4 separate regions of the Mus musculus genome follow, and regions 2, 3 and 4 are each reported to be linked to region 1. The links are microRNA targets in miRTarBase. Many come from high-throughput screens and were not tested one by one. Region 1 holds a microRNA gene; each other region holds the end of a gene's coding sequence. Distances are between the middles of the regions.
Evidence for each region. Region 1 holds the annotated microRNA mmu-miR-759 (GCAGAGUGCAAACAAUUUUGAC, at 5,220-5,241, shown strand). A microRNA usually pairs through its seed, bases 2 to 8, with sites in the 3' UTR of a target mRNA and lowers its output. Matches are read on the target gene's strand: a 7mer-m8 pairs with bases 2 to 8, a 7mer-A1 pairs with bases 2 to 7 and ends in A, and an 8mer does both.

Region 1 (7,608 bases):
AAGAAGCTGGGGTTGGCAAGATGGCCTTACTCTAAGCCTGAGGATTGGATTTGAGTCTCTTCATAGGGTAGAATGAGAGGATCAACATCCCCCCCCCCCGAGTTGTTAAAAAAAAATGTTGTTTGAAAAAGAAGACAAAAAACAAACATCAAACAAAGAACAGCAGCAGCAGCAGCAACAACAATACCCACGACAAACAAACCCAAACAGATGGTGTTCTCTGCGACTTTTTATCCTAGGGAGTTAATAACCCTGCATCCTCCCTTGCTGCTTCCCATGGCACGTAGATGCTTTCCTTTTTGTGGGGTGTGTGTTTATAATTTCTGGGGCCCTGATTGTCCCTCTGGAACATTCATCAATAACATGGTCTCCTGAGTCCCCCTCTCCTGTTCTTCTGTAGAGCATGGCAGCCCGAGAGAGGGGTTCAGGGGCGGAGGGTCATGTGACCAGTCTGAGTCCCACGTATGCGGTGCTGTATGACCTTGGGAATGCTCCTGGACTTGGGCCTAATTTCTTCATCTTGAAGGCACAGGAGTAGGCTGAGAATAATCTTTCTGATTCCTCCCGTTTTTAAAATTTCTGTGCTTATCTTTTTAAAAGGCAAGCACACAGACTAAACAACACAGGGAAGAGTCTCTGGGGACAGACACACCCTCACACAGGAGCACTGGGGTTGGCATTTGTGAGTATGGTTATTAGATTTCATATGGTGGCTGCTAAAATTTTGTCAGAAAATCTGAGGCAACGTGCACAGGTCAACACTGATCCATGAAAATCCTGTAAGAATATTTCTAATCTATATTTTGCCAGAGATATTCTCTTAGCCATTTCTAACAAACACTCTCTCTGAACAGATCTCTTTGGAAATGCATTAGATAACGCAGTTTCCTCCCTTCAATTCCATAACTTCCTTGCTGTCTGAACGGAAAAAGCCAGTTTGTGTTATTAATGACAAGTCATTTTGCAGAGTGCCCAGGTTAATAGAAGAGATAACTGGCAAAATATAAATGTGTAATATGAACATGCCAATGATAAAACCGAGGTCAGATGCAGAATGCAGAGTGTGAAGACGGGAAGAAGTTCCCAGTGGGTACAGAATTCCAGCAAAGTGACCAGGACAGCCGTGGCTGTCAGCTCATCAGCTGCTCTACAATGCACTGGTTTCCTATCCCTAATTTTCAGATCTCTAGCACTCTTGTAAATGAAGGGTAGATGAGGTATTCTACTTGTGATCCCAGAACACAGGAGGCAGAGACAGGAGATCCCCAGAGAAAGCTGGCTAGCTAGACTAGCTGAAACATTAAGTTGTGGGTTCAAGTGAAAGACCCTTCCTCAATTAATAATGTGGAGAGCTATTGATGAAGGCACTAGGTATCACACATGGTTGCCCACACATGGTTGGTTGCACACGTGTACATATACCCATTCGTATATGCCCCCCACATGAACACACAGGCATGAATACTCTACATATACACATCAGACTCAATGGTAACTCTTATTTTAGTGGTTAGTCTAGTGTGGTGGTTTGAATGAGAATGGCCCCTACAGATGCATATGTTTGAACACGGTTCCCAGTTGGTGGAACTCTTTGGGAAGGATTTGGAGGTATGGCCTTGTCTGAGGAGATATGTTGCTGGAGGTAGACTTGAAGTTTCAAAAGAGTTCTGGCCATTCATTCCTGGTGTGCTTTCTGCCTCCTGCTTGTGCACCAAGATGTGAGTTACCAGCTGTTGCTGTTCCAGTGCCATGCCTGCCTGCCTGCCTGTCTGCTGCTGTGCATCTATCGTGATGGTGATGGACTCCTATCCCTCTGAAACTGTAAGCCCCAAATAAATCTCTCCTTCTATACACTGCCTTGGTCACGGTGTTTTAGTCCAGCAATCAAAAAGTAACTGATACACTGAGGATGCTCCTATTACAACAGTGTTAGTCAGTGTTCCATCACTGTAACAAAATGCCTGTGACCAAGCTTATTTTGACTCACAGTTCTTAAGGTTCCAGTTCAATTGGTACTACTACTGCTTTGGGCAAGGCAGCATATTATGGAAGGAGCTGCTCTTCTCATGCCCAAGAAGACAAAGGGACAGAGGTCTCACAGTCCCCTTCAAGAGCTTGCTTCCAATGACCAAATGCCTACTGTGTGGATTGTCTCCTAAAAGTTTTACCACCTCTCAATAGTTCCAATGTGATGAACAAGGAGGACCTTGGGGGCACATTAAGATCTAAACTTCATTTAAGGTCTAAGATGGTAGTGGTACATGCTTATAATTCTAGCACGTAGAGAGGCAGGGGCATGGCTACAAGTGTGAGGCCAGGGTAGGATACATGAGGTTCTAAGTCAGCTAGGGTCACATAGTGAGATCCTCGTTCAAACAGCAGCAATGAAAAACTAAGTTAATTGACTGAACCGCTTTTCAGAAGACAACAAGGTTCCTGCCCTAATTTCTCCTACCAGCTAAAGTGAGGGAGAGAGAGTGGAGATTTGACAAGTAAACCCAGCATAGTAGACCCCAATCAGAGCTCTGTTCTGTCTAGCTGTGCAGATTTGTTAAGACGCTCCCCTTATCCTCTGACCTGTAAAATGAACCGTCATAGACCAACCTCTTTATACTCTCGTAAGGGTTCACCAAGTTAGCCACGGTTGTTGTTTCTTGAGTTCATTGATTTTTAGTTATGCTCTCTCTTCTGATTAGATGACTATGAAGTCACATCTTGGCCAGGAATGTGTGTGTGTGTGTATAATAGTCTCCAAGTTCGGCCTCAGAATTAAGCATTTCCTTGGGGACTGCTCAAGGTGAGCATCAGAAATGAACACTAGACCATTCTCTGTGTGTCCTGAGTATTAAGACAAAGGGAAGGCTCATAAATGGTGGCTGAGGCTAACAGGTAGGCTCCCTACCTCCAAAAGCGTGGAATCTCCTTGATGAATTTGAAGCAGAGCCTAGGACCAGCAGCCACCTTCTGCTAACTGCTAACTGCACAGAAACAGAGCTGATTGCTAGTGTCTTGTCTACCATAAAGAACTTTAGTAAGTTGGTCTTATTTTATTAGTATTAAACACATTTAATTCCATACATCCCAGCTAAGAAAAAGCTCATCTTCAATGGTTGCTAAAAAAACTAAACAGAGATTTGGAGTTAAGACAAACTGCCTTGAGGAGCTGTGAGTGTGGCTGTTTACATGTGACTTCGGGCATCTTCCTCCATCAGGTGGGTCTCTCAGCTGACTGTTGTACTTAGCAGTCCGGCTAGTCTACCTACCCAGCTTTCCCTCTAAACCTCAGCTTGGGCATCTACACACAGAGGGGAGAATGCCAGGTTTTTTTCCTTATTAAGGTTGTAGTAAGAGTCGCTACAAGCATGCAACTTACTGTCCGGCTCATCGTGAATTCTCAGTCATGATGCTACTTGTAACTAACTTTCTAAAGTGTGGTTTGAAACAGTCTAATCACAAACCTCAAGCATTAAAAAAAAAAAATCCTCAGTACAGATGTTACCTGGGAAAGGATTTTTATCTTTTATTTCTTAGTTCGTCCTCTCGGTTAGCATTCGGCTAAATAAGATTCTGAATACTCACCTCCTAGACCGGGCTTTCACAGAAAACCCTCTCCTGGGTCTCAACTACAGCACTGTCTGGAAAAAAAAAAAATAAAAAAATAAAGCCGTACTGCTCACGGTTGATTGCTTTGAGAAATAGCACATTGGCAGGATTTCTTCCCTTCCCCCACCAGCCAGGCTTGGGGGTAGATAGAGCTTCACTATGGAATCCGACTGGGCTTCAGATACCAACAGCCTGGAATGTTTCAGGGGAAGACCTTGAATGGTCTCCAAGCAGGGAATGGAGGCTGAGAGAGCCAGATTTTCAGTCTTGAAGGACCCTTGATTAGTTCCCCAAAACAGAACAATCAGTTTCCAGTGACCTTGCCTGGTATATTTTGACAAAACATTTGCCGATTAACGGAATCTCATTCTCTTCCCGACTAGGTGGCTTGGATCTACTCTTCTGTGTCTGGAAAGATCACTGCACGAGATGTCTGGGACAGGAGGAAGCAGCCCCACTGCTTTCTATCACTAAGGAAGGGGAGATCTAGTGTGTTTGCATAACCACAGTCCTTAACATCTTTCTCTTTGTCTCAACACATTTTCTTTGAGCAGGAGCTGTTGAGGTAGCTCCACCCATTTTCCAGTTTCCAAGATATTTGTGACAAAACAAGAAGGAATCTTTATTAAAATGTGAAAGTGGACTGTCCAAATGGCTCAGTAGGTAAAGATACTTGCCATGTAAATCTCTCGACTTGGAGTTACGTCTCCACAACCCACTTAGGTGGAAGGAGAGAACTGACTTCTACAAAGCTGTCCTCTGACATTCAGTTGTGGACTGACACACACACACACACACACACACACACACACACACACACACACACACAGACACACACACACACACACACACACAGACACACACACAAACACACCACTGTCTCTTACTTAGGATTAGTAGATGTCTGTGTTTTCAAGTGAGTTGGGGAGGAGGAGGTAGGTTACCCAGGGTCATGGTATTATAGAAGTCAGGTTTGGGGGTGGAGGTTGGGGGGGGGTGCCAATAGGCAGGCGCAGTAGACCTTCACTGCCACCTTGTGGTCACCTGGGACCCCAGAGGGTCATTTTTCTGGACTGTCTTCCTCACTCTCTTAGGCCGCCAGCCTGAAACCTCTCCCACTGTATCTGGTGTTATTTCAATGGATCTTTTGTTATAGTTTTTTCTTACCAGTGCACTTTAACTTTAGGGGGAATTGCGGAAAGCCAGCACATTTCTATATTCTGAAAAAAAAATATTTGCGGGGAAGAAGAGGTCAGGTTCCATGAGGGCTCTTTAAGACGAAACGGCTCAAAGCCTTGCAAGGTTCCTGTTTCTTCAGGCTGCAGCCAGTCTCAGCTGCAGCAGAGATGCTCAGGGCAGAAGGCAGGCCCTGGGGTGGCACCTGTCTTTGTTATCACCTGGTCAATTGGGGAAGTCAGGACAGAGGAGGATCCGTTCATTATCTCATTTATCACCCTCGTCTGTGGTCCAAATTAGTTCTCACATCAGATTCTGATAGTATCAGATTCAATATCATCAGCTGGAATATGAACGGTATTTTTCAGCACACACACAAAAAAATGACTTTCAAGGCATGTATTATGGGCAGGATTATAATAAATTAAATGCCTAAACTGGCAGAGTGCAAACAATTTTGACTCAGATCTAAATGTTTGCACTGGCTGTTTAAACATTTAATTTGTTCCAATGGAGGTAGCAGCACAGACTAAGCATGCTAATTAAACTCGGGCTTTGGCAACGTGAGTCATCTCGTGGACACAAAGCGCGACAAACCAGGACGGAGAAAGCCATTACGTGTGGTTTCCTCGTTCTCCAAATGAACACTGTACATCCTTCAACCCTGCAGACATTAGTAATTGTTAATGAATTGTTCCATCTTTCTGAAGTGACTTTTAGATGATGCTGTGCTACTGTTACTCTGGGAAACAACTTTGCTAATTAAGTTGCAGGGAAGTTCATCAACTACAGATAATTGGTTAAAGTGATTACGTGGATAATCTGTTTCATGTTCCATTAAAAATGGAAAATGTACAGAGGAGGAGGGATACGAATGACAAGGCATCTTGCCCAAAATAATTGCCTCCACTGCCCTCAAATCACTACCACCACCATCATCAACTACATCATCACACCTTTTGGGGCAGGGGGAATGCTCAGGCATGATTCTCTTGACTGGTCTTGGTTCTGCTACGGATTGATAGAGCATGCTGGCTAAGTCTTCTCTAAGCTTCCGGTTCCTTTGTAAAATGAGGGCATTCTTGTGCTAAATTAGGGCTAAGTGATCTATTTCCCAAATGCAGTGATTTAAATAGGAAAGCAGTTCGACTCTCTTTTAGAAGTATCTCAGGTATTTGGGGCTGGCAGGGGAGCACTCCATTCTCTCACTACAAAGCCTTTGGTAGCTCCCCAATGCCTGCAGAGCCACGTTCAAAGCTGCTCACCATCTGACCCCAGTCTACACTTCTAACTTCATCCTCCTTAGCCTGTCTGCTTGAATCTGTCTTTAATGTGCTGCTCCGCCCACCTGGAATGCCCATCTCTCCTTCACCTCCGCACTTTATTCTGTCTTTATGATCTGCACTCCTTCAAATGCTCCTTCGTAAATCTGTGTAATTATTCTCTTGCCTCTGGCTGACCCCTGCTATAGCATTCATTGTCTTTTCCTTCTAATTCTGATATTTTTGGCTCCATGTCCAATTTCATTTCTTATTCATACAAACAGCACTCATGTTTCTGGAGACAGAAAACTGTATGTTATTTATGTTATTATAAATAATATTAATTATATTATTATGTAGAAAACAGTATATTATTTATCTCTTGGGATTTTTTTTTAAAGACTTCATGTATCTCAGGCTAACCCAGAACTCTATGTAGGTGAGGATGACCCAGAGCTGCCTTTTCCACATCTCGAGTCCTGGAGTTACAGGTCTAATTTATGACGTGCTAGGGAGCAAAGTTGGGGCAAAATGTTCTTCTCAACTGAACTACATTCCCAGTCTTTACCTCCTTTATCTTTATTCCCCATCCCTCTCTTATTCCTTCCTTTGATATCTAGCATTGTTCTGTGTGCAAAAATAACAGCAATAATAATTAAAATTAAATTAAATTAAATTTAAAAAGAATGTTGAACTAAATGCAACAAAATGTTGTTCCAGATTAAAAAAAAACAACCCAGTCACCAAATAGCAACCGTTTGTTAACTCAAGGGGCCAATTAGGCAATGGGTTATTCATTGGAAAATTCCAGATGTGAATCACAACCGTTCCAATTAGATTTACATCCTGTGTTAAACTAAGAACAGCAAACAGAAATAACTCCTTGGGCCCCACATCCATGTGGAATAGTGTGCCACTCAGTTCATTAGGAAGACAGCTTTCTGGAGATGGCTGTTTTTTTTTTTTTTTTTTTTTTTTTTAATTTTGTTCACGGGATGGAGAGATGGCTCAGTGGTTATGTGCTCTGGCTGCTCCTCTAGAGAATCTAGGTTCCATTTCCAGTACCCTTAAAGCAGCTAACAACTGTCTGTTACAGGGGATCTGACACCTTCATACAGACATGCATGCGAGTTAAACAGCAAAGCACATAAAAACCAAAACCAAACCAAACCAAACCAAACCAAACCAAACCAAACCACAAAACCCCTTTTGTTCATGAACCATGCAGAAAAAATAGGGTGACCTTAGATATATGCACAAGGACGTTGTATGTGGTCTAGCTAAAGTCTATCTCTATTGGTGACATTTCTGCTTCTGTGCTTGCCCTTGGCATGTTAGATTTAAGAGTGGGTTGTGTGGCAGGGGTTCATTTAAGAGGGTAATCTTAGATTATGGGGTCACGTAGAGGTGGCTCAGAGGTTGTGGCCCTCCTATGGCTTTACTGTGCCATTGGGAAAACTTAGCACCTCTCCTCAAACCTCATTCTTTTGCTTTGCACATTTATACTGTTCTCCTCTTACAGGGCTGTTTGTGTGGATGCTGGCAGCTCATTAGTGTGGAGCTTTGA
Region 2 (7,608 bases), 42 Mb from region 1:
CTTGTTGACTGGACTATTGTCTACACTACCACAATGGTTTGGATCTTAGATGTACGCTGAGTGTCTAGGCTCAGTTGGCTCAGGATAGGTGACCTATACACAATGGTTGAACCAACAGAACCAAGAATTGTAGAGGAATTTTAGTTTAGAATGTGGCTGCTCTGATAAGAGATCACATACAAAGACCTGCTAGGTCTATGTGATTTGGCTGGAATACAGACATGCCTTTAATCCCAGAAGACAGAGGCAAGCAGATCTCTAAGTTCAAGACCAGCCTGTCCAGAGCAAGTTTCAGGTAAAGAAAAACTTAGGTCCAGGTCTTAGTCACATGCCTTTAATCCCAGCACTCAGAGGAGACAAAGGCATGCATATGTCTGAGTTCTAGTCAGCTACGTTCAGTCAGTTCATGGAACTCAGAGGCAGTTTTCCTGGGAGACTTTTACAGAGACTGGTTGTAGAGAGAGAACAAGCTAGACACAGGTGAAGACAGAAGGAGTCAGAGAGTGAGAAGGAGCCAGAAGCTTAGAACAGATTGCCAGAGTTAGGATGAGGCCAAGCAGAGCAATTCAGTCAGAAACTGAGAGGAGCCAGATTGAATCAGTCAGCTTGGAGAAGAGTTGGAGCCAGGACAGCTGAGTTGAACCAGCCAGCCAGAGTTCAGGAAGGACTAGAAAGAGTGAGTTTATTCAGAGGCTGAGAACATCTAGGCCTAGATTAGCTTGTACAGAGGCTAGAAGCTTCCAGGACTAACTAGGCTTCGGTTAGCAGACAGAAGTAGTAAGCCCCTGAGATAACAATCACATCAGGGGACTAAAAAATACTTTTACAAAGAATGAGCTCAACTGGCCACCTCACAACTGCTCTGAGGGGTCCCATGCTCTGTTTCACATGCGATGGCAATGTCTGCAGGTGCACAGAGCTGACAAGGGATGGTGGGTCAGATTTGCAGTGTTTACCTACAGAGGGTAACTGCCCAGCCTTGTCCTGTGTGTGTGTGTTTCCCATAGCCTACAGCGCCTCCACAGTCTCCCCCGTGCTTCAAATCCACAGACAGCTGATCCTCAATTGGTCGCACTTTGGTCAGAATTCTCTACCTTACTTGGGGTGCCTCCAGGACCTCCCTGGGGTAAGCTTCCCCGTGCTCTGTGTCATGGGGTCCCAGCTTTCCTCGGAGGTCGATGGCCTCCAAACGCTGATGCCCACTTGCCTTTCTTACCCAGGGCACCCACTTATTGCTTTGTTTCCTCTTTTTTGCGAGCCCTTTGAGGACAATGGACTCCCAGACACACGGACATTGCTCACTCTGTGACTGGCTCACACTGCACTTTCTCCTGGATGCTCGCTGGGATTCTTTGTGAATAATTATCGAATACCTGTGGGTTGTGGTTTTTAGAAGTCAAATGGGACCTACCATAAATTCTCTCTAGGTTTATAAACTGTAAAACAACCCAGGTAAAACTTTTGGTAGCTTACTGAAGTTTGAGCCACTGAATGTCAGTGGTCTTATCAAAGTTTTGGCCAGTCATATTGGAGCTAAACTTGAGGCTGAATAGCAGCGGCTGCTCAAATTGGGAGTGACTTCTGTCAGGTGTGGTAGCTCACACTTTTAACCTCAGAAAGCAGACTGGTGTATTTAGTGAAGTCCAGGCCAGCCAAGTCTATATAGTGAGACCCCCCCCCCGACTTAAACAAACAAACAAACACCCCCACGAAAACCAAACCAAAACAACAACAAAAACAAAGCAAAACAACAAAGGAAGTTACTTTCTGCTCACAGGTACAATTTGGGGAAGAGACTGTTGGCGCCCTCTGCTGGTCACTGTGTAGTATGTCAGCCCAGGTTCGGAGCCTTTCTGTGAGCCTGGAGACCAGAAGGCAACCTAAGTTTTGGGAACAAGGAGTAAGAACCCTTGGCTCAGGGCTACGGATGGGCTGGTTCCCCAGCACACAGGTCTGCTTTTGCCAGATTTAGCGACCCCTTTCTTGCTCTCAGGCTACTCAGCCCTAGGAAGTGTGGGACTGACTCTTTGTTTTGCAGGGAACCAGAAAGGCCGCCCACCACATTCAGCTACTGTTCCATTTGGGCCTTTAAGCAGAGCGACTGAGTCAAGAAGTCTCGTTAGACCAAAACAGACAATAAATCAAATGAAAACTCATAGCGCTCTGAAATTGCCAGTACCTGCAGGACGCCAGAGAGCCTCGTTCCTGCTTGCAGCAGTCAGTGGCCTTGCTGATAAGCTGGGACGCTAGAGGTCTAGGTCTCCCCGTTAGCAGCTGCCTTTCATCACTGCTGAGCCCGAACACCCAGGCTACTCTAGAAAGCCTGCTAAAGGTCCCAGTCCCAGGGTGCAGGTGAGCGGAAGTAGAAGTGAGAAGGAATCGCCGTTTTGTTTCTTACTGCCCGGAAGAGGGGAGTCGGGGCGGGTGTTCAGTGAACACGGGTTTCAGTTCTGCTGGGAAAGGTCTTGAGGAGACTCATGGAGGAGATGGTTGGATAATAGTGTTGGTGTGACTTGTGCCAGGATTCTGTGCCCTTAAAATGTTTAGTTTTATTTCTTGTGTATTTTACCACAATTTAAAAACTAAATAAACCAGGCTTCCTGCTGTCCTGTAGTCTGTCCTGGGGTCTCACAGTTCTCCGGCCCTGTCACTGACTGCTCTCCCATGGCCTCACTGGCCTCTGTCCCAGCTGCTGCCCTCTGAGGTCAGAGTGTCTCTCCATGACCTCTCTTGGCAATGGCGGTGTCTCCAATCAGGCTCCAGGGGAGGAAGTTAAAGTGTCTTCTGGTAGCACTGCCTCACGGGGGCCCAGGCCTCCCTCTGAGATGGTAAAGGTAGCTCTGTTTCCTTGGTTTGCCCTTTGAGTCAGGGTTCCAGTCTCTCATCCCCACACGAGACAGCTGTAGGTGTCCTTCTCAGGGTGCTGGAAACACTGGTCTAGCAGGCTCCCAGTAGCCACACTGCCTTATTCCTTTCACATGGCCTCAGCCGTTGGATTGGCTGTGTCACGTGACAGGAGATGCTATAATCTCGCGGTATCAGGCACGTTGTGGTAATCAGTAGATGCAGCATCCTGGGGAAAGACTCACCACAAAGGTTTTTTTTTTTTTAGATTTATTTATTTATTTTTGTGTTTTGCCCCTGCATGTGTGTATGTGCACCAATTTTCAGAGGCCAGAAGGGGGCGTCAGATTCCTTGGAACTGGAGTTTAGATGCTTGTGATCTACCTGTGGGTTCTGGGAATCAAACCTGGGTCCTTGCAAGAACAGCAAATGATCTGAATGGCAAAGCCTCTCTCCCGTCCTCTTTCTCAGTTTTCTTATGTCAGAAGTGAAGGTCTTGAAGGCTGACTCACCATTATCATAAAGATTATGATTGGTGCCCTCCTTACAATAGATTGAGTATGGTGTTGAGAGGTGGCAGATGTGAGGCTAGCATTCTCTGCTCCATGGAGAGCCAGGCTGTGGGGACGGCGTTGGGTAGGCCACTTGCATTTTCTTTGTCTTCTGTGAGTGGAATAATCCTAACCCACACTATAGGACGGCTGTTGGACTGCACCAGAAGACTGCTAAGCCTGCTGTCTGCACATGCCCTGTGTTCAGTCTATGTTCAGCCTTTGTTGTAACAAAAAGGTAAGAGTATATAATTGTTTTGCAAAATGCATACTGCCTATGGTTAAAATAGCCAGCAGCAGTCAAACTTGAACATTTACTCAAGCATTTTTAAAAGTGGGAAATGGAAGTCTGGGAATTTTCTGGCACGTTGGGAGCTCAGAGACACAATGGAACCCCACTGTGTCCGGGAGAGGTATCCACGAAACTCTTACAGGGAGAGGTGTGAAAGGGAGGCAGGGCTGGGGTGAAGGCTGGACAGGGTCTTCCCTTTGACCTGGGAATGAAGAGTGTGCTGTGCTCCACGGTGAGGAGTCCAGGGTTGATTGGGTCAGAGTTTGTGGAGAGAAATGAAAAGCATGTGGAGAAAAGAGCTCGTGGATCTGACTTAAGGGGCTCTGAGGACCGCCCTACAGGGCTGGAAAGTTGCTGAGCTAAGTGTAATAATCTCATTAGTTCTCCCTCAGATTTTGGGTCTGTGCGGTTTTTATGTGCAACGATGGGCTGGGTGCACAAAGCCGCTTCCAGGTCAAGCACAGACTGTTCTCATCCAGAGCCAGCGTCTATCTTCAGAGCCGTGTGAAGTCTAATAACTCCTGTTTGTATGGGAACACCAGACACGACTATCGTGGGCCTGACATCTGGGATTATTTAATGATAGCTCCATTCCACGATGAAAACCAATCAGTAGAGTGCTTGTCACAACACACAAAGCCCTGAGTTCAATTCCCAGAACCAAAGAAGTCTGGCCATAGTGGCACATATCCATAATCCAGAGGATCAGATGATCAAGAGCTTCAGCTATATAGTAAACTTAAAGCCAGCCTGGGATACATGAGACCCTCTCTCCAAATAAACTGGGCGAGAGAGATGGCTCAGCAGGTACAAGGAGTGTCGGCTCGTTTAGAGGATCCGAATTCGGTTCCTAGTACCTATGTTAGTCGGTGGGTTATAATTGTCTGTAACTCCAGCTCTGGGGCATCTGACATCCTCACTTGGCCTCTGAGGGTACTCATACAAACATGGCAAACACACACACAAAACAAAAAGTGACTAGGCAGAGCCAGGATAACCCCACAGTAGAGGAGATTAAGGGCACCACAAGAATGGCCCACAGACTCAACTAAGCAGGGCTCATAGGGGCTCAAAGAGACTGAAGTGACCATCACAGAGCCTGCATGGGTCAGTGCTATGTCCTCTGCATATACCTTATGGTTGTGTAGCTTGGTGTCCTTGTGGGACTCTGAACAGTGGGAGTGGGGGTGTCTCTGACTCTTTTGCCTGTACTTGGGACCCTTTTTCTTCTATTGGGCTGTCTTGTCCTTGATACAAGGGTGTGTGCCTAGTGTTATTGTAACTTGTTAGGCCATGTTCAGCGGATATCCCTGGGAAGCCTGCTTGCTGCTCTCTCTCTCTCTCTCTCTCTCTAAGAAAAAAGGTGGATCTGGGGGAAAGGGGAGGGGAGGGGAGGAACTGGAGGAGTGGAGGGAGGGAGGGAGGGGAAACTGTGGTCAGGATGTAATATTTGAGAGAAGAATGAGAGAAAAAAAAGTTTAAAATAAACAAGTAATCTGAGCACAGTGCACACAGCTGTAAAGGGAGGCAGAGGCCGGTGGGTGGTTGTGAGGTGGAGGCCAGCCTGATCTACACAGTGAACTCAGACAGTTAGGGCTATAGGCTGAGATCCCGTCTTGAAACAAAACAAGCAACAAAACAAAACAAAACAAAAAAGTGCCAAATGTCTGTCGGATGAATTAGTTCATAGTACTTTAGAAGGATAAAGTAGACAAATAGTCATCAATCCAAGAAAACCACAATGGGATGTAAAAGTATGTGCACACAGAAAGATGTCAGTACTAAAAGATACCCACCCCGCCCCCAGAAAAAACAGGACCAAGAAGAAATAAACTGATGTTTTGTGTCCCTGACTTTACCCTTTGTGGTTATTGCTTTTGTTAATGCTTTGCTGGTTTCTCAAATATCTTAATGAGCATGTATCAATAATATAACCAATGAGCATGTATCAATAATGTAACCAATGAGCATGTTTCAGTAATATAACCAGACAGCATAGGAAAGTTTCTTACCATACCCAAAGACACACAAACACATATTCTTAAGAACTAGAATTTATTTCAGACCAGTGAAACTTCACAACTCATGACTAGTCTTTTGAATTACACATAATTTAAAAAGAGGTAAGGCAAAGGAGACTAGAAAAACAAACAAACAAACAAACAAACAAACAAACAAAAAAACCCCAAGGTAAAGCAATTAGCTTGAATCAGTTGATACTCATTACACACTATTAAAAAAGCCCTCTGTAAATTCAATATTGTTTTCATAAAACTGTTAGAAAAAACAATACTATTGCCTTTTCAAAATTAAGTTAATCTGAGCTAAGTTCATTTCTGTGGCAGAAATGTAAGATACAGCCCAGTTTAAAAGAAAAACAAAAACAAACCAGAAAGTGCATATTATAAATAATATTTTAGCTGGGCAGTTGTGGTGCATGCCTGAAATCCCAGTACTTAGGAGGAAGAGGCAGGCAGATCTCTGTGAGTTCAAGGCCAGCCTGGTCTATAGAGCAAGTTCCAGGGCAGTCAGGCTTATACAGAGAATCCCTGTCTTAAAAAAAAAAAATTATAGCTGGGCATGGTGGTGCATGCCTCTAAATCCCAGCACTTGGGAGGCAGAGGCAGAGGCAGGGGCAGGGGCAGGGGCAGGGGCAGGGGCAGGGGCAGGTGGATTTCTGAGTTTGAGGCCAGTCTGGTCTACAGAGTGAGTTCCAGGACAACCAGGGCTACACAGAGAAACCCTGTCTCGAAACAAACAAACAAGCAAAAAAAATAAAAAATAAAAAAAATTTAAAAAATTAAAAAAAAAATTTTTTTAAATAAAAAAGGCTCCCCTAGAGTTTCAGGTTCACAGCTGTTGGTTAGAAAACTGCTTTGTTATTATTCTGGCTCACACTTCTGAGGTCTTCTCCATCAGGGCTCTGTGGTGGAGTGTCCTGTCCCTTGGACAGAGGTCAGGGCTCATGTTGTACTTGGATCTTTCTCCACTTGCCTTCTGCCCTTCACATATTTGTCTGTGAGACTGGTTCCAATGAAGAATACGGGTTTTCCTTTCCTATGCCCTTTTTCTTCTCATCCTCATCAAACTGTGCTTCAATCTCTGCTGGGTTGATGTAGGTGTAGAATCGAGCCATGATGGCGAATATCACGCAGACAACCAGAAGCAATGAGGCAAACAGAATGTACTCAGCCCACTGAAGGAATCAGAGGTGGAGCAAGAAAACAAACAAACACAGGTCATGGTTAACATAGTTAACATGATGTCTCATGCATATCTTCTTGCTACTTCTAGGTGGAAGATACTTTGAAGTGGAACTAGGAGATGTAGGCCCCCAACAGAGACATTGGCTAGATTTTCTCAAATGCTCAAGAAGCAGCTAACACTTTCCTGCTAACATGGGATGTGGAAACAAGACTTTTGGGAGGATGAGAGGAACTTTCTGAAATTCAGGCTGGTGCCAGAAAGATGGGGAGCCAGCAAGGAACAAGTGTTGGCCTCGCAAGGCAAAGAGTGTGCTGAACACAGGCAGGAAAGATGGGTGTGCTGAACACGGGTGGGAGGGATTGCTCCACAGGTCTGAGCATCTTCCAGAAGTCCTTGGTTGTAGTCCTGACACACCTACAAACCCTACAACTCCAGCTCCGGGGACCCAATGCTTTTCTGGCTTCCATGGGCACCTGCAGGTGCATGGTGCATATATATACAGCAGCCCCTCCTATCTATCTGTCTGTCTGTCTATCTATCTATCTATCTATCTATCTATCTATCTATCTATCTGTCTGTCTATCTGTCTATCTATCTATAACTTATATGTGTACATGCATACATACACACACACACACACAGTTATATGCACATATTTTTTTGACAATGTCTGAGCTCAAGAGCATGAAGCCCCATGGCCATTCCTGAAACATC
Region 3 (7,608 bases), not on the chromosome of region 1:
GCAAAACATTGGAGGATGGGTAATGATGAAAGCAACTTGTCTAAGAAGTGTGATATGAGGCTGAGCTACAGCTGAATCTCACAGCCACAGGAGTGTGTCCTGTCTTGAAAGGAGGGTGATTATGTGTCACCTCCAAGGCTAGAGTTGACTTGGTAGAAACCAAGGTATGTCTTCTTTGTTCACAGCTCTTCTAATTCCAGTGTAGGTCTAAAGAGTCTGTCTGTGCATTCTGGTCTAAAAACCAGACCTTGTAGTTTCTACTGGATATTGGGTCTCATTTCCCTGTCATGACAAAAACATGCCTGGTTTCATATTGTGCTACCTAGAAAATGGATGTCCTGCCTACCTGCTTTGCTGAAGGTTAGAAGGGAGCCAGTGAAAATCTTTGAAGACGTATCATCTGTCTGTGGTGTGTGTGTGTGATCCTTATTGCTATTTCCCCTCCCTTCAGTCCTACCAGTCCCTGTCCCCAATCTACCTGCCCTTTTCCCTAGATTCATGTCACTCTTTCTCTGTTTCTCTCAAAAAGAAAAAAAAAATGCTCCCAGGGATATCCACCAAACATGTCCTAATAAGTTACAATTAGACTAGGTTCAAATGCTCATATCACGAATACACAAGCAACCCAGTAGGAGGAAAAGGGTCCCAAGAGTATGTGAAAGAGTCAGACACTCACCTATTCCCACCTTTGGGAGTTCTCCAAGGACACCAAGCTATATAAGGTATTGAATTTGCTTTATGTGCAGTAAGAGATTATGGGGAGTTTCCAGTCTGAGCCTCATTCAACATCTGACATTATTATTATTAGTATTTTGAATCCAGAAGATAGATGAGTCATTGCCAAGCTTGTCTAAGGCTCTGGATTAGACCCCATATATCAGAAGCAAAACTAGCCAAAACATTCATTTAAACAAAACCTCTTGCTTAATTAACAAAGCCTTTCCTTTTTACTAAAGACATTATACACATTGAGAAGTTTAGATGGTCTCATCTAGTGCTACACAGAAAAGAGGCCTACATAGTAGGCCTTGAATGACACATAGAAAGATGCAAGTTTCAAGTATAGACCTTAAACCTAAACTCCACAAGTAACCAGACCTACATTGAAGATTCTACATGATTGATTCACTGGCTGAAATGTCCATGATGGTGGAGAATGAAAATGTTGCAGGTTGAAACCAAATTACTTTGGTGTATCTTTACCCCTTTGATAGCTAGCTACTCATTGCCTGGATATCTGACTCACATATTTGTGGCTATCAGGTAAATTCTTTTAGAGTATATTAACAGACTGCTACTCTGCACTCAGCTAAAAGTTAATAAGAATGCCATCAGACCATATCTGAAATGCACAGCTCATGTGTCCTCACTTGTCTGTAGTTTGCCAGCCAATTCTTTCCACCAATATATTTGAAGAAGGCTTGATCCATTGCTTTCTGTTGTTTTCTTACTATATAAACATTGTGAATCTGTGACTATATTAGAACAAGGTACTTGTAGTAACATAAATCCCTGTTCCAAGTCAGTGGTCACTCATATCGGGTTCCAGGATAAACTCTATCCTATTTTCTCAGAGATGATAGCTGTAGGTTTGCTTACTCAAGTTACGCACTGACAGCATGGCAGGGCCACAATGATTTTCCCACTATTCCTGAATTTGGCACCAAATTATTTTAAACATTGTACATACCAACAGCATAAAATTTGACTACAAAACAAACCTCTCAAATAGAGATTCTTTTAATTTGAAATTTTATTTAAACAATCTCGCCCTACTCTAAAAATATAGTAGGGAAGACAAAAGTTTGGATACATTAAAAGAGAACTTGAGGCTTGTAATAATCTCCCACCACCCAACTCACAAATAGTTGCTATTTGGGGGCATGCTCATTTTCCAACTTCTGTCTGGAGAATAGAATGCTGAAAGGATTTTCCCCCCTGATGTTTCTAGAAAACTAGCATGGACTAAATAAACTCCTCTGCTATAAAGAGAGATTAATGATATTTTTTCCTTCTTGGAAAAATTGACAACAATTTCTCAGAAAGAACATTGAATTCTTCTCTAAGTTAAAGAAAGTCCTTCAGCTGGGCAACAGAGCTCACATCAGGCTGGATGTATGAAATACATTCAACTGGGAAAATAGGAAGGAGGGAGGGAAGGAAAATTAAGAGATGACAGGAGGATTGTAGGGATCAAGGGAGAAAAGGAAGAAGGAAAGAAGGGAAGAAGGGATGGAAGCAGGTAGGCAGGAAGAGAGGGAAGAGGAAAGGAAGAATGGAAGAATGGAGCAAGGCAGGGAGGATAGAATACAGAAGGTAGAAAGTACTTCTCTGATAGCACTTAGTGCTTTGGAGAATATTTATTTGTTTTTCATCTAAGTCAAATGAAATAGAAATTCCATTCAATAATACAGACTTTGTGTAGTATTGGGTGGAGACTCTACATGATAGTCAAGGAGACACAGTCACTGGTCCTTTGTAGCCCATTACCAGGTAAGAATGAGTCTCAGAGCTTATCATCAGTGGAAAGAAGCAATATGGCACATGCTTACAGACTGTAAAAGAGACAACATAGAGACAAAGACACTCCAGTATCTAGTCAGAGCTAAACCATATTATGTATAATGAAGGTGGCTATATAAAGTTGTTCTTCCAAGACAGTAAGATAACCAAACAGCAATTAAAACAATGCTACAACAAGCAAAAGAGCATTCATAAGGAATATAGCAATTGTATCTGACCCAAATCAGCAATTATTGGCCTGGAAAACAAGCAGTATGTTTTGATCAAAACCAGTGACTGGTTTTGATCACAAGAGTGTGACGTTTACCTGGGATATAAAGTATCTATATAACATTAGGTACTCCGTATGCTTGAGGCTAAATATGTCATCTTTAAGGAAAAAACTGCTGTTTCTCTCATGCTTCAGACTAACAGCCAGAATGATTTGTCATATTGTACAAATTTTACAATTATTCATAATTACTATGAAGATTTACCAAACCCTACACCCCACAACAATTGTTACATACTCCGTAAAATGTCCTATTGATGTAGTCAATTGTGGAAAGGAAGACAATTAACATAAAGTTACCATATATTATGTGCATTGAAATTCACAAAGCAAGTGTAGACTTTTCATCCCCTGCTCTGGATTTATTAGGACTTATTTCTGTTTTCCTTCCTGTTCATCAATGTTGGAAACTTCTCCCTGCAATATTCACATTTAATACAAAAGGAGAGAGATTTCCAAAGTCTTGATACCTTCCTAAGTGTGGTGTTCTTCCTGTGCCTGGTTCTGTAGCGAGGCAGTTTGTGTTATGTTGAGGGAGAGGCTACTTGTTTTAGATGATACCATGAGACCTGGAGAAGCAGGAAACCAGTTATACAGAAGGGCCTCTTTGGAACAATAATGGGAGGCTAGGTTCTTGGGTGTGCTATGTATTTTGGGGATATATTTTGTTTGCCAAGGTCATGTCTGGACATCTCAAGGTGAGCTCCTACTTTTATAGAGTCCTACAGATACCTGAGTTTATGGTGGAATCATCATGGCTTTCTTCAGAAGAATTCTTTTCAAAGGAGAGTCTTGAATTTTAACCCCACAGGCCCAACAAAAGACTGGTGATGCTTATGTAGCAGGGTTCAGATTTTCAAAACACTTTTGTTTCTGTAGATTTGTGTTCTGTTGGCATGAACTCTGAAAGGGCTTAGTGATGCACCTTATACTTCTTGGAGATCTACATGCAAGAATGGTCAGAGGAAAGAGGGACAGAGACAGTGGTACATCAGTTATACCCTGGGAACCTGTGCTCGCTCTCTCTCTCTCCCTCTCTCTCTCTTTCTCTCTCACTCCCAGTCTGTCTGTCTCTCTGGCTGCCTGTCTATGTCTGTTCCCAGTTTTCTTACCAGAAATGGGTGTACAGGAGGATGTATAATACATGACAATATGTATATATAAATACATATTTATATATAATTTACTGCTCTCCCTAGAGTTGTATCCAAGCCCTTGAAATTTTATCATGTTTATTTAAATCAGTATATTTTAGGTTACTTTTTGATTAATGTCTGATTTTTAATTCAATGGTCTTTATTTGCATTTACTGTTCAAGTTGTAAAAAAAATATTCTTTGAATTCTACTTAGCTCACAACAAGATCATTTCCTCTTTAGCTGCCTGTCAGAGAGTTAAGGTTAAAATGTACTCATAGATGTCTGATTTCCTTTTTTTTTTTAACTTTAATTTGTTTTTATTTTATGTTATTTGTTAAGATAAAACTCTCCCCTTACCTGTAATTTGCTAAGTGGAAGGGCCATTTGAAAACCTCTCCTGCCAGGCGTGGTGGCACACACCTTTAGTCCCAACACTTGGGAGGCAGAGGCAGGTGAATTTCTGAGTTCGAGGCCAGCCTGGTCTACAGAGTGAATTCCAGGACAGCTAGGACTATACAGAGAAACCCTGTCTCAAAAAAACAAAAACAAAACAACAACAAAAAAAACTTCTCCATAGATTTTTCTGCTCTCTTGTAATATTGCAGACATATCCTTTCCTTAGGAACTAGTGATGTGGTTTTGGTTTTAATTCCCCAATTTTCCCTCCCCCCTTTGTGTTCATAAACTACAGTATTTTAAAAGTTTTGAATACTCCCTTTTGCCAACTACTATTGCTGGAGAACAATGGCACACAGTGGATTCTACAGTCAATAACGTGTGGACTTTCAGAGGATGTCAACATTCTCTTTATTCATACTAGTTATATGTTTTAGAAATTCTGGACTTTAAAATTTCCAAAATTTTAAAATTTCAAAATTGTGGAATATTTATGTAGTCACTAATTTTAGACAGAAAAAGAAATCCATTAGAAGTTCTCAACACTTTATATTCTTAATTATATAGCATACTGAGATAGCTGACATAATAGTTAAATTTAAGTCTGAATACGTATTCATAATTGTTCTTATTACAATCCACTTGCGTTACTCTTACCGAACTGAAAAGCCTCATAAAAATCATATTTTAGAACGGAAGCTGCTAACTCTTTAAAATACAGAGAAGAAAAATCTCAAGAAATAAACATTCTGAAAAATATAAATTTTGATTATATTCATAAGACAAAGATAATGATTCTCTAAAGATGTCAGTAGTAAAACGAATCCAAGAAGTAAATATAAAATAGGAAGATTTCATTTCTGAGAAAGAATGCTTTGATAATTTCTTTGCGGGTAAAGCACACTTTCAGAGTGTCTTGTCTCAGGGTAGGACTGGAAAGGTACTTTCTTCTATTTCAAAGCTCAAATGCAGTTAACATCTTCGTTGTGTTGTGAAGTAATGAATTAACCAGAAGCATGCTATTTCCATATTAAATTATTATATAAAATTATTTTTTAATTGAGTCTTCTGAATAGTGAACTAGATGTATCTACTACATTTTGTTTTCAAGTCATTGCAGGAAAATTATGGAAACAGCATTGAGAGATGCAATGCCTTCTTGTACCACAAGAGGGAAGCACAGACCTTTTTAACAGAATTCTACTTTCATGGTTTGAAACTATTTAAAAATATCTTTCTGAGAGGCTATCTTCCATCCTTCCACACTGAAGTGAAATTTAAAAGATATGTCTTGTTTATAAAACAGAAATATTCTTAATATAGTTTAGTGAGTGTTTCATGAAGAGAACAAGCCTCAGAATGGATGGGTTGCAGATTTCTTGTACAGTTTATAGCAACCACAACACAGCTACATACAACTTATGGCTTAAAAAAAAAAATCAACAACTGACCAGAAAGCTCACACGATAATTCTACAATATCTGATATTCTGTATATTTTACCTTATGGCTGCAAAGAGGAAAAGAAAAAAGAAAAAACTCCAGAAAGAGTTTTACATTTTTCTTGATTATGAAAACCTATAACTTTTTCTTTAATATTATAATTATAATACATATCCCAATGGCAAAATAATTTCCCTGAAAAGCAAGCTCAAAATTACAGCCCGATCATATGTTGATAAATACGTGAAGCCTTTTAAAGCAATACACTCGTTTAAGTACTAGTACTGTGAGAGAGATGTTTGTACAGTCAGATGAATATGCAGAATAACTTAAAACACCTTCCCAGCCTCTCAGTACTACAGAAAGTTCTTTGAAGTAATGGAAAGAGACTGCATGCTTTCAGTCTTTTTTTTTTCCCCCCCTTTAAAAAAATGTTTCCATCCTAGGTTCCTCAGCCGCCGGCAGAGGGCGCCCTCAGGAGAGCAGCGTGTGCCTGGGCAGGCGGAAGTGCTCAGCTTTAGAGCGAAGCCTCTTTTCCTGGGGGTTGGCATACTTCCACTTGGAGGGAGACATTTTAAGCTTTTTCCTCTTCTTATCTGTACACCACACCTTTTCGCAGTATTCTTCCACTCTCTGGAAGTTGCTGTAGCCAATCAGCTGCAAGAATTCCTTGTACCACGGTTTTGTCCCCTGAGACATACCGCTTAAGGGAGGGCAGGGCATCTTGTGATGTCTTTCCTCTTCATGGTCCTTATGAAACATGCCCTCCACTTTATGCTCTTCGACCACCTCCAAGGTGATTTTACGCACAGTATGGACAAAATTGTGTTCTACTGTCTGGCAAAAATAGGTCCCTGCATCTGACTTGCGTACTCTGAGGAAGAGCAAGCCCAAGTCCATCTTGACAACTCTGTCATCCGTCTTCACCTGAAAAACCAAAATCAAAGGAACAAATAAGTAAATGGCAATGAGTATCGTATAGTCCAGAAAATACCAACCTGGGTTTCTTCCCGTTAAATACTCTTTCTCTTTCGTGATCACACCATACAATTATGGTGGTCCACAAACGTGCCAAGTAATTATTTAAATTGGAAACTACATTTATCGATGATAGTGAGGTCATTTCCCACCAATACATTAAGAAGTTACTAGCAGGAGCAAGAGAGACCTTTCTCCCTAATGAATCTCATTAAAGGGGAGAAAAATAATCCACACAGCACAAAGAAGCATAGATGCTTTCATTATATCGATGATATGTCTGTCCCAGTCAAGTATGCCAAAACAGCATCCCTGAGTAGTACAGTGCAGAAAAAGTATTGGAAACATTTGAATTAAATGCTGGGATATGAAATTATTATATGACATACAGTGCAATAAGAAGAAAGTTACAAACAGACACACACACACACAAATTATAGTTATCGTCCCATATTATCTTACGGAGACAGTAATTTCAATGAAAAAAAGCATCATACTAAAGAATAATTTTAAGAGTATGCAGACGTTTAAATCTCTTATTTGTGAAAATTTTCAGCAATATTAGAATGTCTTATTTCAAAGATCGAAAGACCATATATGAATTAAGGCTACAAGAATACAAATGCATGCATTCCTCTATTCTTCTAAATATTTAATAAAGTCTTTAAGATGTGTCATAGTTCAAGCAGACATTATACTTTTGAGAGCATGTGACGGGGACAGCCAGAATACTTAAAAAAAAAAACAAAAAACAAAAAAAACCAAATATTCCCTTCCCTAACTCTATCTGCTCTCATTCCTGGTACTACTACCTTGTTTCCTCTTCAAACTTATGTATGTATGTATGTATGTATGTATGT
Region 4 (7,501 bases), not on the chromosome of region 1:
CAGCCAGCTAGGGCAGATGTTTTGATTTGTTGTTTTGAAGACATCTCATTTTGTCACCCTGGCTGGCCTAGAACTCACTGGCTTGAGATCACCCTGCCTCAGTCTCCTCCTGTTGTGCCAGGATGGCTTTTTTCAAGAGGATTTTGAAGGATGAATAGGAGTTGGCAAATGAGAATTCCAGGCTGAGAACACCAGGTGGCCAACTGTGAGATGGGACTAATTCTAGGTTTCACTGGGTCTCACTTGCCCCTTCTGTGATCACCCTAAGGTGGGATTCATTGACTACATCGCTCAGCCATTGTGGGAGACATGGGCTGACCTAGTGCACCCCGATGCTCAGGAGCTTCTGGACACCTTGGAAGACAACAGAGAGTGGTATCAGAGTAGGATTCCCTGCAGCCCTCCACACACCATGGGCTCGGACAGGTTCAAGTTTGAGCTGACCCTGGAGGAAGCAGAGGAAGAGGAGGAAGAGGAGGATGAAGGGCAGTGCACAGCACTGAACAGGGAGTCCTCAGAGTTACCCAGCACTTAACTCCTGTCCTCTAAGGCCAGCCCAGAGCCCAGGGTCTGCTTTGTCCAACAAGAGTTGGGCTAGCTTAGTGTGGACCGTGGAGTCCTGGTCAGGCCATGGGCACCTATGGGCACTGATGACGTTCCACCACTCAAAGAGGACAGCCAAGGTTTACACAGAGCCAAGCCTGAGGGAGGCTGGGACCAGCTCTGCCCACAGACTGGAATGGCACCAGCCCTGGGAAGCGCCGACTCCTGCATCTCAGAAGACAGACTTAGACTCAGCTGCAGTCTGCACGTCAGCTTCAGCACATGCAGTCGGACTCTGTGTTATGGTTTAGTTGGTTTCTTTTTTGGCACTAAAGATGGAACCAATGTTGCCTTCACCAGTCCAGCTGCAAGCCTTTACTGAGTCCCTCGGGGGAATCCCTTTCGTAAAATGCGGGCGGGGAACACTTCCCACTGAGGTCTGGTGTCTCCTGACACCATTGGCTGCACAAGACTCTTCTTAGATATCAGGAGGCCGGTGACCCTCCTAGAAGACCACTGCAGGCCTCAGTCCTCCCATCAATGAGGATCCCCGTCTCCGACAAGATTGGGCTTCTCAAACCAGTGTGCTGGTGCACCTCTCTTCACCATAGGCATCCCCCAGACTTGGCTGTGTGTGTGTGGAGACAGCTGGTCCAGGCTGGGCAGCCTGACTAGAAATAAAAAGAGCTGGAAGTGGGCTGGAAAGATGGCTCAGTGGTTAGGAGCACTGACTGTTCTTCCAGAGGTCCTGAGTTCAAATCCCAGCAACCACGTGGTGGCTCACAATCATCTGTAATGGGATCTGTTTTTTGTTTTGTTTTGTTTTGTTTGTTTGTTTTCGATACAGGGTTTCTCTGTGTAGCCCTGGCTGTCCTGGAACTCACTCTGCAGACCAGGCTGGCCTCGAACTCAGAAATCCACCTGCCTCTGCCTCCCAAGTGCTGGGATTAAAGACATGTGCCACCACCACTGTGTGGCCTGAAATGGGATCTGATGCCCTCTTCTTTTGTGTCTGAAGAAAGCAATGGTTACTCACATATAATAAATAAATAAATCTTTAAAAAAAAAAAAGTAGCTGGAGTGTGGCTAAGGGGTGGAGCTTCTGCCTAGAATTGCCCAATGAGGGGCTTGGGGTGTGGCTCTGGTAACAGAGCTTTAGCTTTTGGGAAGTCCTGAGTTCCATTTCTATCACTGCAAAAATAGAATAAATAGAAGAGCACTGCAGGCCTCAGTCTTCCCGTCAATGAGGATCCCTGTCTCTGACAAGATTGGGCTTCTCAAACCAGAGTGCCGGCACACCTCTCTTCACCATAGGCGTTCCCTAGTCAGGGTTCTCTAGAGTCACAGAATTTATGGGTATTCTCTATATAGTAAAGGAATTTATTGATGACTTAGAGTCTGCAGTTCAACTCCCAACAGTGGTCAGCAGCAGCTGTGAATGGAAGTCCAAGGATCTAGCAGTTGCTCAGTCCTACACGGCAAGCAGGTGAAGGAGAGAAAGCCTTCCTTCTTCCAATGTCCTTATGTAGGTCTCCAGCAGAAGGTGTAGCCCAGATTAAAGGTGTGTGCCACCACACCTTTAATCACAGATGACCTTGAACTCAGAGATTTCCCTGTTTTTGTTTTTTTTTTAAAGATTTATTTATTTATTATATGTAAGTACACTGCAGCTGTCTTCAGATGCACCAGAAGAGGGTGTCAGATCTCATTACGGATGGTTGTGAGCCACCATGTGGTTGTTGGGATTTGAACTCAGGACCTTCGGAAGAGCAGCGGTACTCTTAACCACTGAGCCATCTCTCCAGCCCATGAGATCTCCCTGTCTTAATCTTCTGGAAGCCATAGCCACTATGTCTTAAGATCTCCATACCAAGATCCAGATCAGAAACTTCTATCTCCAAGCCTCCAGATTAGGGTCACTGGTGAGCCTTCCAATTCTGGATTGTAGTTCATTCCAGATATAGTCAAGTTGACAACCAGGAATAGCCGCGACACCTACTCATTCTCTTGTGTGGAAACTGAGTCATAACTAGTCCCTCAGAGCTTATATACTAAGAGTGGGCACTGGTGCCCCCTGGCGGTATGACTGATTCCCTGTTTGTTTTCCAAACAGTTCTTTGGCCGTTTTGAGACAAGGTCTCATGGTCTCAAGTTCTAATGTCAGACTTGTTTGCCGCAGAGGATGACACTAACGTTATTTTCTTGCCTCCACCATTCGAGTGCTTGGCTGGGGTAACAGGCATGTGCCATGGGGGGGGGGGGGTCCCTCTCTTTCCCTTTTCCTTTTTCCCTCTGAGCCTGTAACTCTGCACCTGACCAAGGCCTCCAAGGAGCCAGAGTGGCAGGCGACTTCCTCTGTAAATATTATGACTCGGGCTATTCATCCCCAGGAGGCACAAAAGGCCATCTGGGGTCACACACTGGAACATTTCCTTCTTCCTTCCAGATGTCTTAAGAGGCGACCCTTAGAGATTTCTTGTTAAACAAAGTCATGTGTGTTCACTGTGGGAGAATTTGGAAGTCACACAAACCTGATGACGTGAGTTCCATTCCTAGGACTTGTGCTGGAAGGAAAGAACTGACTTCCTAGGTTGTCCTGTGACACTCCCCTCTTTCCAACACAAATAAATGAATATAACTTAGAAAGATTTGAGGAACAGCTTCCCTCTGTCCCTTCTTCTGCCTGTGCTCTTGTTTGCCCAGGCCTTTAACACACTTGCTTCATTCTTCCAGACAGCTGTGCTGTCCTCTCTGGGGAGCCTCAAACTCAGAAATTCCCAAGTGCTGTGTAATTAAAGGTTTCTGTTACCATGCCAGCAGTTTCCCCGCACACGTTTATAGTATGAAACAGGGTCTCACTTTGTGATCCAGGATGATAAAGAACTCAACAACCCTCCTGCCTCAGCTTTCCAAGTGTTCCGATGAAGCCTTGCCACCTACTGAGCTACCAGCACAGTTCTCCTGGAGCCCTTGCTTGGTGGTGGAAGCAAATGGGTTCCTCCCCTAACCTTATCCCTTCGGAATAAATCCAAATCAGGCTCCAGTGTCCCAGGCTCCTCCTGCACCCTTTCTGTCCTCAAACCCGGTCCCGGTCCCCACAGTAGCCTCCGCGTGGGCCCGGAGCTCGCTAAGTAACAAACTGATGGTCACTTTGTGTCTCTGCATGAAGTGCAGGGGAAGCAGGAAATAAGCTTCCTCCAGCGGCCCCGGATTGGGCGGGGCTCCAGGCTCCTCGCGGGGGTGGACGAGCATCCAGGCGACAAGTTATTCTGGTCCATTGGCGCCTCCGCAGCTGGCGGGGAGGTCTATAAACAGGGCCAGGACACGTTCCCAGTTCTGCTTCCTGTGGGAATGGAAGCGATGGGGACCCTGCCCGGCCGCACGGAGAGGAAGAATAGGATAGACCCCAGATTCCCACCTTGACAGGCAGATTTGCAGGAATGAGTCGTGTGTATCATAGCGGCTTGGAAGTCTGCATTTCTGCGCCCACCTTCCTGAGACACAGGGTTACCCGGGTCCCAGTGTCCATATCGTAAAGGGCGTTGGGCAGCTACTCTTGAATCTTCTCTGCTTCCTTGGTCTTTCATTACAATTTTGGAAGACTTATGGGTCAGGATACTTCTGAGCCCTAAGTGCGCAAGGAAGCAAGGGGTTCTCTGGGGACTCATCAGACCCTTTTCTCTTTGCACAGACCGGATTTTCTCCTTTATTTCTTTGAGGCAGGGTTTTATGTGGATCAAGCTGACTTTAAGACACTATGTAACTGAGGATCACCTTGGACTTCTGCTTCTCCCCTCCTTCCCTTCTCCTCCCAGTGCAGAGAACAGGAGCCTGGATCAACCCAGGTCTTTGTGATGCAGGTTCCCCACCAAACTGAGAATTATCCTCAGCCCATCAAAAAACAGTTCTTTCTTTCTTTCTTTTTTTAAAAATTATTTATTTATTTGCTTGTTTATTTTGTTTTTTGAGACAAAGTTTCTCTTCATAGTCCTGCTGTCCTGGAACTCACGTTGTAGACCAGGCTGGCCTCGAACTCACAGAGATCTGCCTCCATCTCCCTTCTGAGTGCTGGGACTAAAAATTCTGTGTGGTCTTTAATGAGTTTTTTGAGCCCTAAAATGTAATCAAGATGTATGCCTGCCAATCCAACACTTGTGAGGTGCAGGCGGGAGGATCAAGAGTTCAAGATCAGCCTCTGCTACTTGGCAAGTTCGAGACCAGCTTGTTACTTGAGACCATTTCTCAAAACAAAACCTAAACTCCTGAGTGCTTCACGTCTCAAAAGCAAGGACTTCTAACCACAAGTTTCCAACCAGAGCTAGGTCCTGGCCTCAGCCTCTCCGCCCTTCAAACACCTAGCAGTCACCATTGGGCCTCTAAAGACGTAGGAATCGCTGATTTGATATTCGGTCCGTCGCTCGAGAGCATCAGCCAATGGAAACTTCATGCCTCCCTAGAGCCCCGTCTTCCAGTGGCTTACCAGGCCCTGCCCCTCTTCTGCCGGCGCAGGCCAGTGTGGTCCCGCGGCTGTCGATGCAGTCCCTCCCCTAACGTCACAGCTTCGTTTGCATAGAAAGCCCCGCCCCTGGCTTTGCAGGACGTCAGCTAGGACTGCAGGGGCCTGAGCCTCCTCCGCTGCCGCCTGCAGCCCCCGCCGCCGCCTGCATCCCCCGCATCCTCTTCTGGGGCCCGGTCGCCAGCGCAGTCGCCACGGTCGCCGTCGCCAGCGTTGTCTCAGCTTAGAGAGGGTAAGGGTGAGCGCAACCCAGGTCCACACACTGAGGAGCCCGCGTTTCACTGACAGCTGGGGGATCAAGGGGAGCGCAACTCGGGTGTAGTGGCTATGGGTCTCGCATTTGGCATTCTTGGTCCCGCATCCCGCACCCCTCGCCCTTAACCTGGCACCTGGGGCCCGGGCTCTGCGACAGAGGGGGAGGGGAAAGCCAGGCCTTGCGGGAGGCTTGTGCGTGCTCGTGCTCGTGGGGTGAACACGCGTGTGCGCGCCCGCTGGGCATGGAGAGGCTCGAGTGACCGCAGGACGCGCAGCGTGCACACTTGTGATACGTTGTGCGTGCATGGTCCGCGTGCGCGGTGCGCGTGGATCTTAGTTCAAGTATGTGCTCACACGCGTGTGGAGCCATGCGCGTGTGTGGTGTGTCCTCCCGGATGGCCAGGTACAGTCGTGCATTGGTGCAGGGAGCTGTGCTCACACATGGGCTTGCACACACCATACATGTCTGCTTGTTTCGCCTGTTAGCACCACTCTTGCATGCAGGGCAGGTGTTTGGGTCTGCCTGCCCTAGATGCTTCATTGTGCTTGTGTGTGTGTGTGTGTGTGTATGCGTGCGCGCTCTTGTGCTCGCGATTTTGTGTGTGTGAGCCTACGTTCATCCTGTCTTCGTCACGTGATGTGGCTATCTCAGGGCCCCAGTTCTTGCAGGAGAAAAATAAGGATGAGCGAGAACTGGGGATCCTCCTGTATTCATGTTCCGGTGTGGGTCTCTGTGAGAGACTGATGGGAAGGCAGAGGAGGCTCAGTCTTCCCTCAGGGTACAGGGGAATCTGAGGTTCACAGCCTGCTTAAAACCTTGGTGCTGTCAAGGTCACAGCTCTGCCTTATGTTGGTTGGGGGGGTTGAGCATGTGACATTGGGGGGTATCCTCACCTACCCCTGTGCCGTGCCCACCCTGTGCGTGGTCCTGATGCTCCCCTCAGGCCCTCTGTGCCACGCCTCCCGCAGATGGCTTCCGCCACAGACTCTCGCTATGGGCAGAAGGAGTCCTCAGACCAGAACTTCGACTATATGTTCAAGATCCTGATCATTGGGAACAGCAGCGTGGGCAAAACCTCGTTCCTCTTCCGCTACGCAGATGACTCCTTCACTCCAGCCTTTGTCAGCACCGTTGGCATAGACTTCAAGGTCAAAACCATCTACCGCAACGACAAGAGGATCAAGCTGCAGATCTGGGTGTGTAGGGCTGGAGGGGAGATGTCTTCCTGCCAACCCCCACAAAAGGAAGCTGAGGCTAGCCATCGGCTGGCGCTGGGATTTAAGGCCTGCATCTCCATCCCAGTATGAGCTTCCCGTTTTCCTAAGTCCCGAGCATCCCCACTCATCTTCTAGCATAGTGTGGCACAGGGCATTCAGGCAGCACCCAGTACATGTTTGTTGAGTGACTAAGTGGCCTTGCAGTGACCCATTTGGGTCACTGTCTGCTTTTCCTGACCCACTGTCCCCGGGCCTCAAAGTGGTTGCTGGACAACCTTGGAGCACGTTTTTCTCTCGGGGGCTGCTGCGAGGTCCCTTCTGACCTATCCCTCTTTTCCCCAGGACACAGCAGGGCAAGAGCGGTACCGCACCATCACCACAGCCTATTACCGAGGCGCCATGGGCTTCATCCTAATGTATGACATCACCAATGAGGAGTCATTTAATGCAGTGCAGGACTGGTGAGCAGCCCACCTACTCAGAAAACACAAGGCTGGGATTGGAGGTGACTTAGCTAAGCTTAGCTAAGCTTAGTTGGTAGGGTGCCTGCTTGGCCAGGACAAAGCCTTGGGTTCGTCCCCAGCATGGCCAAAAGACAACCAAGAGTAGGCCTCTGGTGGGACAAGCCATGTGGCTGTTCCCAAGGCTTGAGGTTGTGGAAGCACACAAGGTAACCAGTGAGTAGACAAGGAACCTCCCACTGATCTCTACCCAGGTAGCCCAGGCAGGAGAACCACGTTAGCTCACTTGTCTGAGGTCAAGTGATTCTCTGGCCAAGCGCTTACCTCAAATGTATGAGAACCTGGATTCCAGCCACAGCACCAAAAATTAACTCCCCCAGGTCTTGACATTTGGTGTAGTGGACACCGGCCCATCTTCCCAGCTTTGGGAAGATGGAGAGGTCTGAGTGAGATAGGCTGGACTCAGTTACCAAGGGGCAGTGGTCTCTCCTGCAAGGGCTAGACACAG

Region 2: the mRNA of Slc15a1 is a reported target of mmu-miR-759. Seed matches in the 3' UTR shown: 7mer-m8 at 6,390-6,396.
Region 3: the mRNA of Sema3e is a reported target of mmu-miR-759. Seed matches in the 3' UTR shown: 8mer at 5,235-5,242 and 7mer-m8 at 4,418-4,424.
Region 4: miRTarBase lists Pde4c as a target of mmu-miR-759. Seed matches in the 3' UTR shown: 7mer-m8 at 1,425-1,431.

Annotation. Positions count from the first base shown.
Region 1 is chr14:79,733,241-79,740,848 of GRCm38, forward strand. Mir759 (microRNA 759) reads left to right here and starts at 5,191; the gene lies at 5,191-5,288.
Region 2 is chr14:121,453,891-121,461,498 of GRCm38, forward strand. It overlaps Slc15a1 (solute carrier family 15 (oligopeptide transporter), member 1), which reads right to left. Exons shown (of 23, transcript NM_053079.2): 23 at 5,731-6,883. The coding sequence ends at 6,692. Gm33299 (a long non-coding RNA gene) reads right to left here and starts at 3,001. Exons shown (of 3, transcript XR_383790.2): 1 at 2,180-3,001; 2 at 1,776-1,880.
Region 3 is chr5:14,251,427-14,259,034 of GRCm38, reverse strand. It overlaps Sema3e (sema domain, immunoglobulin domain (Ig), short basic domain, secreted, (semaphorin) 3E), which reads right to left. Exons shown (of 17, transcript NM_011348.2): 17 at 2,346-6,697. The coding sequence ends at 6,245. Among named protein-coding and RNA genes, the nearest start is that of Sema3e, 230 kb to the right of the region's middle.
Region 4 is chr8:70,749,573-70,757,073 of GRCm38, forward strand. It overlaps Pde4c (phosphodiesterase 4C, cAMP specific), which reads left to right. Exons shown (of 17, transcript NM_001310465.1): 17 at 269-1,614. The coding sequence ends at 535. Rab3a (RAB3A, member RAS oncogene family) reads left to right here and starts at 5,131. Exons shown (of 5, transcript NM_009001.7): 1 at 5,131-5,291; 2 at 6,284-6,511; 3 at 6,875-6,993. The coding sequence starts at 6,284.